2 linked regions of the Macaca mulatta genome follow. The protein of the gene in region 2 purifies or fractionates together with the protein of the main gene of each other region. This does not show direct contact. Links are inferred from orthologs where the notes say so. Each region holds a gene or a part of one and is shown on either strand. Other genes may lie near its edges.

What was found.
Region 1: the proteins of TLE1 (region 2) and HES1 purify together in Homo sapiens (affinity purification with western blotting; 4 studies listed by BioGRID and IntAct, with this or other methods). This does not show direct contact. The link is inferred for Macaca mulatta from reciprocal best matches to the Homo sapiens genes TLE1 and HES1.

What each region holds. Positions count from the first base shown.
Region 1 is NC_133407.1:4,621,246-4,625,690, reverse strand, and holds HES1 (transcription factor HES-1), read left to right. Parts: upstream 1-1,441; 5' UTR 1,442-1,672; coding exon 1,673-1,780; intron 1,781-1,915; coding exon 1,916-2,011; intron 2,012-2,261; coding exon 2,262-2,349; intron 2,350-2,982; coding exon 2,983-3,533; 3' UTR 3,534-3,903; downstream 3,904-4,445. Other genes in the region: uncharacterized protein LOC144339429, read right to left, coding at 1-463, 572-620. UniProt on the Homo sapiens protein: Transcriptional repressor of genes that require a bHLH protein for their transcription. May act as a negative regulator of myogenesis by inhibiting the functions of MYOD1 and ASH1.
Region 2 is NC_133420.1:112,565,855-112,569,661, reverse strand, and holds part of TLE1 (transducin-like enhancer protein 1), read left to right. Parts: intron 1-2,923; coding exon 2,924-3,173; intron 3,174-3,807. UniProt on the Homo sapiens protein: Transcriptional corepressor that binds to a number of transcription factors. Inhibits NF-kappa-B-regulated gene expression. Inhibits the transcriptional activation mediated by FOXA2, and by CTNNB1 and TCF family members in Wnt signaling.

The sequences.
Region 1 (4,445 bases), on a different chromosome or scaffold from region 2:
CCGGAAGAGCTGACCTTGGCCTGGGGAGGCGGGGGTGGGGAGAGAGGGTAAGCGCCGGGGCTCGGCTCCCAGCCCGCCGCCCCTTCGGATTCCTGGCCCGGCGGGGCCGGAGGAGGGGGCCCCGGACACACACACACACCCCACACGCAGCGCGCGCCAATGAGCCCGGGCCAGGCGCAGGGGGCGGAGTTTTCCCAGGCTCGAGCACAGCAGCTGCTATTTACCTTCTTGGCTTCTCCCGGGGACCAGGAACCGGCCCCCGCTCTCCGCCGCCCGCCGCCGCCCCCCGCCTCCCTGCCCCCGGGGCGCGCGCACACACACTCACTCACACACGCACGCACACACACATCCTCCCGGCCCGGCCGCAGCCGCGGCGGCAATAAAACATCCTGGCACGTGCTCCGGCTCCAGGCGCGCCCACGCCGGCCGGCTGATGTCAAACTGCAGCTCGGCTGGTGTAGCTCTTAAAGGGCCCGCGCGCGCCGGGGGCCGAGGCCGCCCGCGGGGCGAGGAGGGAGAGGCTCTGCTTCCTGGCCCTCCACCTCAACGCGCCGCAGAACCTGAAGCCTACGGATGAAAAGGGAAAGGGTGGTGAAGGCGGGCGCGAGTCCCTGAGGCATTGCCCTCAGAGCCCCCCTTGTTCATTTTTTCATTTGAAATACCATTTCCTTCCACCCAGTTGGAAATTATTCTGATTGTTTCCTGGGGAAGCGCGGGGTCTAAGGCCCCAAATCCAGAAGAGGAATTTCTGAAAGACGGGGTGGGGGTAGGGGGGGTAAGGGATTCAAGAACTACCTTACTCCGAAAAACCTGCGTTTGTAAGGTAGAAGCCAATTTTTCCTTTTAATGCATGGAAAAAGGAAAAAAAAATGGCCCTTTTCCTGCATGATCTACTTTCACCCTCATGAATGTGTAAAGTCTGAGCGGGAACTTAAGATATGTCGGTAACTCACACCTTTACACGAGTCCCGTCCCCCCCCCCCGCCCCCTTTTAACCACTGCTAATGTTTTTCTCTGTCCCTTTATACCTTTAAAAAATGTGTTTCAAATGAACTTATTACAGTCAAAGCAGCTCTGTTACATATGAGAGAGGGCATAAAGGGTAAAGACCCTGGCTCCAAAAGAAAGGGACAAGACCAAAACCAAAGCGGAAAGAAAAAAAAGATCACCTCTAAACCAAAGCCCAGAGGGAGAGTAGCAAAGGGTTAAAATCCTTTTGATTGACGTTGTAGCCTCCGGTGCCCTGGGCTCAGGCGCGCGCCATTGGCCGCCAGACCTTGTGCCTGGCGGCCAATGGGGGGGCGCGGTCCACGAGCGGTGCCGCGTGTCTCCTCCTCCCATTGGCTGAAAGTTACTGTGGGAAAGAAAGTTTGGGAAGTTTCACACGAGCCGTTCGCGTGCAGTCCCAGATATATATAGAAGCCGCCAGGGCCTGGGGATCACACAGGATCCGGAGCTGGTGCTGATAACAGTGGAATCCCCCGTCTACCTCTCTCCTTGGTCCTGGAACAGCGCTACTGATCACCAAGTAGCCACAAAATATAATAATAAACCCTCAGCACTTGCTCAGTAGTTTTGTGAAAGTCTCAAGTAAAAGAGACACAAAGAATTCTTTTTCTTGAAGAACTCCAAAAATAAAATTCTCTAGAGATTAAAAAAAAAAAAAAGGAAAATGCCAGCTGATATAATGGAGAAAAATTCCTCGTCCCCGGTGGCTGCTACCCCAGCCAGTGTCAACACGACACCGGATAAACCAAAGACAGCATCTGAGCACAGAAAGGTAAGGGCGGTACCTGTATCTCTCTGCAGCCCCTCAAGATTAAGTAGGGGTTGGGGGGGCTTCTTTCTGTGTTGAAACCCCGGGATGAAATGGCAGATCCCATGGGAACACAGAACTCTTTTTATTTATTTGCAGTCATCAAAGCCTATCATGGAGAAAAGACGAAGAGCAAGAATAAATGAAAGTCTGAGCCAGCTGAAAACACTGATTTTGGATGCTCTTAAGAAAGATGTAAGTGGGGAAATGTTGTTGCTCTTTCTTTTACTGAGAAAGCAAACACTTTCTCAGCTACTAAGAGTGAAACCCCCCGCCTGCGGGGTCTAGCACTCGCCGGTACTGCGTTCTCCTAGGCGGGAGGGCCCGGCCTTATTCTCTGGGGTCCAGAGATATGCTTGCGCTCCGTGGCCGGGAGAAGGGACCCCCAGCACTCTGAAGCAACTGACACGGGGTTCACTTTCTTTTCTTGCCTCCTCCTATGCAGAGCTCGCGGCATTCCAAGCTGGAGAAGGCGGACATTCTGGAAATGACAGTGAAGCACCTCCGGAACCTGCAGCGGGCGCAGATGACGGGTGAGGGCGGCTCGCCGCGTCCCCCTGTGCGGGCGTCCCGCTCGCCTCGCGGTGATTTCTTCCAGACTTCCGCCCGTGGTTGTGAGAGGCATTCAGCTACATTTTACTGCCTTGGCTCACTCTCGCGTTCCCACGGTCTGGGGCTTATTTATAGCCACAACTCCAAGTTGTTACTGTTCCGGAAAGGGAGGGAAAGAGGTTGCAGCCGCGAGGGTGGCGGGCGGCGGGTAGGGGCGAAAGGACTTAGGACTGTGGCGGTTTGGAACTGCGTGGAGCCTGGGGGTCACTGGTTTAGCACTCCCTCCCGTTGCAGAAGGGGAAACGAGGCTTGGATGATGGATTGGGAGGCATTGTCCAAGGTCACATCGCGCGCGGGGGTGGGGGTGACAGATCTGTGGCTGAGATAGGTTTAAATGCAGCGACAGGGAATCGGGAAGGAGTGGCTCGGCTTTGGCAGCCACGCTAGTGTGTAGAGGTGGCTTTTTTTTTTTAAACCCATCCCACCCTCCCCGCCGGAGGCAGTTTTACGGGCCCATGGTCAGGGAGGCGCGCCACTGGGACCTCCCAGGGCGGAGGCAGTGGCCACGGGGCCAGGGCCGTTCGGTGACCCGTCTGTCTCCTTCTGGCCCGCAGCTGCGCTGAGCACAGACCCAAGCGTGCTGGGGAAGTACCGCGCTGGCTTCAGCGAGTGCATGAACGAGGTGACCCGCTTCCTGTCCACGTGCGAGGGCGTTAATACCGAGGTGCGCACTCGGCTGCTCGGCCACCTGGCCAACTGCATGACCCAGATCAATGCCATGACCTACCCCGGGCAGCCGCACCCCGCCTTGCAGGCGCCGCCGCCGCCCCCACCAGGACCCGGCGGCCCCCAGCACGCGCCGTTCGCGCCGCCGCCGCCGCTCGTGCCCATCCCCGGGGGCGCGGCGCCCCCTCCCGGCGGCGCACCCTGCAAGCTGGGCAGCCAGGCTGGAGAGGCAGCTAAGGTGTTTGGAGGCTTCCAGGTGGTACCGGCTCCCGATGGCCAGTTTGCTTTCCTCATTCCCAACGGGGCCTTCGCGCACAGCGGCCCTGTCATCCCGGTCTACACCAGCAACAGCGGCACCTCCGTGGGCCCCAACGCAGTGTCACCTTCCAGCGGCCCCTCGCTTACGGCGGACTCCATGTGGAGGCCGTGGCGGAACTGAGGGGGCTCAGGCCACCCCTCCTCCTAAACTCCCCAACCGACCTCTCTTCCCTCTGGACTGTAAACAGGAACTTGAATACTGGGAGAGAAAAGGACTTTTTTGATTAAGTGGTTACTTTGTGTTTTTTTAATTTCTAAAAAGTTACTTTTTGTAGAGAGAGCTGTATTAAGTGACTGACCATGCACTATATTTGTATATATTTTATATGTTCATATTGGATTGCGCCTTTGTATAAAAGCTCAGATGACATTTCGTTTTTTACACGAGATTTCTTTTTATGTGATGCCAAAGATGTTTGAAAATGCTCTTAAAATATCTTCCTTTGGGGAAGTTTATTTGAGAAAATATAATAAAAGAAAAAAGTAAAGGCTTTTATGTCTTAGAACTGACTCTTCCAGGATATGTAAAAAGGCTCTTAGTGGAATTTGAATTACATGTAATTAGTCAATTCAAGAATTGACTCTTTTGTTATTAAAAGAACATTTTTAAAAATCCATCAAACCTTTCACCAATCCTCCGTGAACTAAAAAGACTAAATTCCATTTACTTTACAAGCAGCCATCTGGTAAGGCTTCCCTGATAAACTTGTGGTCAGTCTCTTAAAGGATTTCCAAAAACTTGTTTTTAAGTTGCAGTCGGGTAAGTCTGCAGCCCTTGTTCTTCTATCGCCTCCTGAGAAAGACTGAACAGGACTAAATTCACGAAGTCAGTGGATCCAATCCTATTGCCCATTGCACGTTAAGGGTGGTTCCTGCAGCTCTCCTCTCCCAGGGTAGCTCACCGACATCCAAAGCAAAAACACTTCCAACTGCTGCGCCTCCTTCAAGAGTTGGGGTCTTCATTAATTAGCCAATCCTTTGGTTCAAATAAGACGTTCCCTAGCACCCAAAAGTTTGAAATGCCTCTCTGCAC
Region 2 (3,807 bases):
GACTACAGGCGCCCGCCACCTCGCCTGGCTAGTTTTTTGTATTTTTTAGTAGAGACGGGGTTTCACCGTGTTAGCCAGGATGGTCTCGATCTCCTGACCTCGTGATCCGCCCGTCTCGGCCTCCCAAAGTGCTGGGATTACAGGCTTGAGCCACCGCGCCCGACCCCTAGAGCTATATTGTTTTTATACGTGTATTTATTTCCCAGGACAGTCTCCATGGTTCCCATTATATGTGCTTATTCATGAAAATTAAGAGTAACATTAAGGATTTGGGCCAAATAGCTATTTTACTATTAGTTACTGGTACCAATTTGCCAGCAGGTAACAGATTGAGATTGTGTCCTGTGGTTGAGTGGGGGGGAAGTTTAAAAGTCTTCATGGGTTTGATGTTTTGCTTTTATGGAGGGAAGATAATAGCATGCATTTTATTTTCAAACAAATGTATGTGGGTTTTAAGTGCAGGGTGGTAGAGACCTGGCATAATCGTTTTCAGTTTTGTGCTTGCTAAGTTACTTTACAAAATTTGAGTTTGTATTAAAATGAAAATTTAAGCACTGTGTTAGGACTCATGGTGTTTACATTGTGTACAAAGCTGCCAATGACAGGCTTCAGAAAGGCACACGTTTTCAAGGGTTATTGGCAGGAGGAAGCAGTGCCTACTTCACTTATTGTTGATGGTTTGAACTTTTAGCGCTTCTAGTGATTTCAAGTTAAGAAAGTGGAAATAGTGGTCTTCAAAGTAGAATGTGCATACTTGTTTTTTTTTTTAGACAGAGTCTTGCTCTTGTCTCCCAGGGTGGAGTGCAGTGGCGTGATCTTGGCTCACTGCAACCTCCATTTCCCAGGTTCAAGTGATTCTCCTGCCTCAGCCTCCCAAGTAGCTGGGATTACAGGCATGTGCCACCACGCCCAGCTATTTTTTGTATTTTTAGTAGAGACGGGATTTCACCATGTTGGTCAGGCTGGTCTTGAACTCCTGACCTTGTGATCCGCCCCCCCTCTGCCTCCCAAAGTGCTGGGATTACAGGCGTGAGCCGCCGCGCCCAGCCGAATGTGCATCAGTTTATCAGTTGACATAGAGTGAAAACATTAGCACTTCTCTTTCTTCTATCCTCTAAAGTGTCTTTTCTTTGTTTATGTTTTATCATGTCCCTAGGATCTTAGCTCTTGGAGTTTAAATTAAATTCATTGGAGGAAAAAATATGCTTTGAATTTTGGTGTAGAAGTAGAAGTGGGTAATCAGGATTAGGTTTGTTTGTATTTAACAGGGGAAGAAAATGGTAGCTTAAATAATGTGGAAGTTTATTACTCTCTCACATAAAAGACACTGGCTCTCAGCGGCTCAGGGCAGGTATGACAGCCCCATAGTGTCACCAGGGCCTCTGCATCCTGTCTTTCTGTTCTGTCTCCCCCAGCAATCCCTTCCCTTCCCTTCCCTCCCCTCCCCTCCCCTCCCCTCCCCTCCCCTCCCCTCCCCTCCCCTCCCCTCCCCTCCCCTCCCCTTCCCTTCCCTTCCCTTCCCTGTTCTGGGATACATGTGCAGAATGTGCAAGTTTGTTACATAGGTATACACCTGCCATGGTGGTTTGCTGCACCCATCAACCCATCACCTACGTTAGGTATTTCTCCTAATGCTATCCTTCCCCTAGCCCCCGACCTCCTGACAGGCCCCAGTGTGTGATATTCCCCTCCCTGTGTCCATGTGTTCTCATTGTTCAACTCCCACTTATGAGTGAGAACATACGGTGTTTGGTCTTCTGTTCCTATGTTAGTTTGCTGAGAATGATGGTTTCTAGTTTCATCCATGTCCCTGCAAAGGACATGAACTCATCCTTTTTTTTTTTTTTATGGCTGTATAGTATTCCATGGTGTATATGTGTAACATTTTCTTTATCCAGTCTATCATTGATGGGCATTTGGGTTGGTTCCACATCTTTGCTATCCAGCAATTGATTTCTGTCTTTGAAATCAACCTCTGGGCCATAGGAGCACCAGTCATCCCTCTTAGCTCAGGCAGTGGGAAGGAAGAAGAGAAGAGGGCAGGTATGCTCCCTTCCTATTTATTTTTTTAGAGCAGTTATGGGTTCCAGGCAAAATAGAGTGGAAAGTTACAGAAGAGTTCCCATATTCCCCATCCCTCTCCTCTCTTTCAAGTTCAGAACTTCCTCAATGCCATCCAGCAGCTTCTTCTTAGACCTTATTGGTCAGAACAGAGGCACGCTGGGCTAAAGGAGAGTGGGGAAGAGTAGTTTTTTTAGCTGGGCACTTTGCTGCCTTATATAATGGCGTTCCTGACCAACATAGGCAAGGAAGATTGTTGAGTAGGAAACCTAAAATCCTGTTTAAAGCCATATAAGATAATCTCTTATTTTCTCTTCCTTAAGCAAAAGAAAGTTGAAGTCCAAACCATAAACTGGTATTTTTAGAAAGCTGTTTTTTGGGGTGGGGGGGGTTGTTTTTGCTATTAAAATACACTATCTACTCTGTTTAATTATTATTAGTTCTTAAGGGCTTCATCTTTAGCAGGGAAAATAATCATTTAAAATTATACTAAGAAATCATAAAATTACACAAGATACATGGAAGGAGGTATTTTATGTTCATTTGGAAGCGCGTTAAGTGTTTTATAAGGAGATTTGAGGGAATGCTTTATAGAATGGATAAGAACGATTTAAATACCTTAAAAAAATTTTAAATACAGTTCTATGTATATGTCATTTGGTACACGCTAGATTTCTGCTATTAATTATTTTAAATTTGCACCATCAGTAAATACTTCAACTTGTATTGTTTTGAAAGGAAAATATACAAGAGAATCTTTCCTTTTTTTCATCGTTTTCGTAGTCGTAGCATGTTGCCGAGGTAATGACTGCTTCCTCTGTCATTGTGTTTTCTGTCTTCTCTCCATTCGTTTTTCCAAAAGTGCGTACTCCTTCCACGTTACCGCAGACGGTCAGATGCAGCCTGTCCCTTTTCCCCCCGACGCCCTCATCGGACCCGGAATCCCCCGGCATGCTCGCCAGATCAACACCCTCAACCACGGGGAGGTGGTGTGCGCGGTGACCATCAGCAACCCCACGAGACACGTGTACACAGGCGGGAAGGGCTGCGTCAAGGTCTGGGACATCAGCCACCCTGGCAATAAGAGTCCTGTCTCCCAGCTCGACTGTCTGGTGAGTGGACAGGAACTGGTGCACAAGGGCAATTTCTCCCTGGAGATTCAATAAGGAAATAGCTGTGTGGGCCTGGGTTTTATTCCCATTATGAGGAAATAGAAGCCCCTTCTGTTTCCTGTGTTGGGTATTTAACCCCCTCGGCCCCCCGTTTAAATGCGAAGGTTTCATTTGTTGCTGTTGCACTGGCTAAATCCCAGAGTTGATGGATTTCTTTTTATAAAATATTTTACACTGGTTTACAGAGGCTCTCCTTGTGTATGGATGTACATTACAAAAGGGGGTTTCCCATTTAATGGACAAAAGCACAACTTGGCCTGGACTCTGGTCCCTGCCATCCACTCAGTTTTTAATTTCCCTATAGCCTTTAGATAAATATAGAATAGTAAATTTTTTTTTTTTTTTTTTTTTTTTTTGAGACGGAGTCTCTTTCTATCGCCCAGGCTGGAGTGCAGTGGCCGGATCTCAGCTCACTGCAAGCTCCGCCTCCCGGGTTCACGCCATTCTCCTGCCTCAGCCTCCCGAGTAGCTGGGACTACAGGCGCCCGCCGCCTCGCCCGGCTAATTTTTTGTATTTTTTAGTAGAGACGGGGTTTCACCGTGTTAGCCAGGATGGTCTCGATCTCCTGACCTC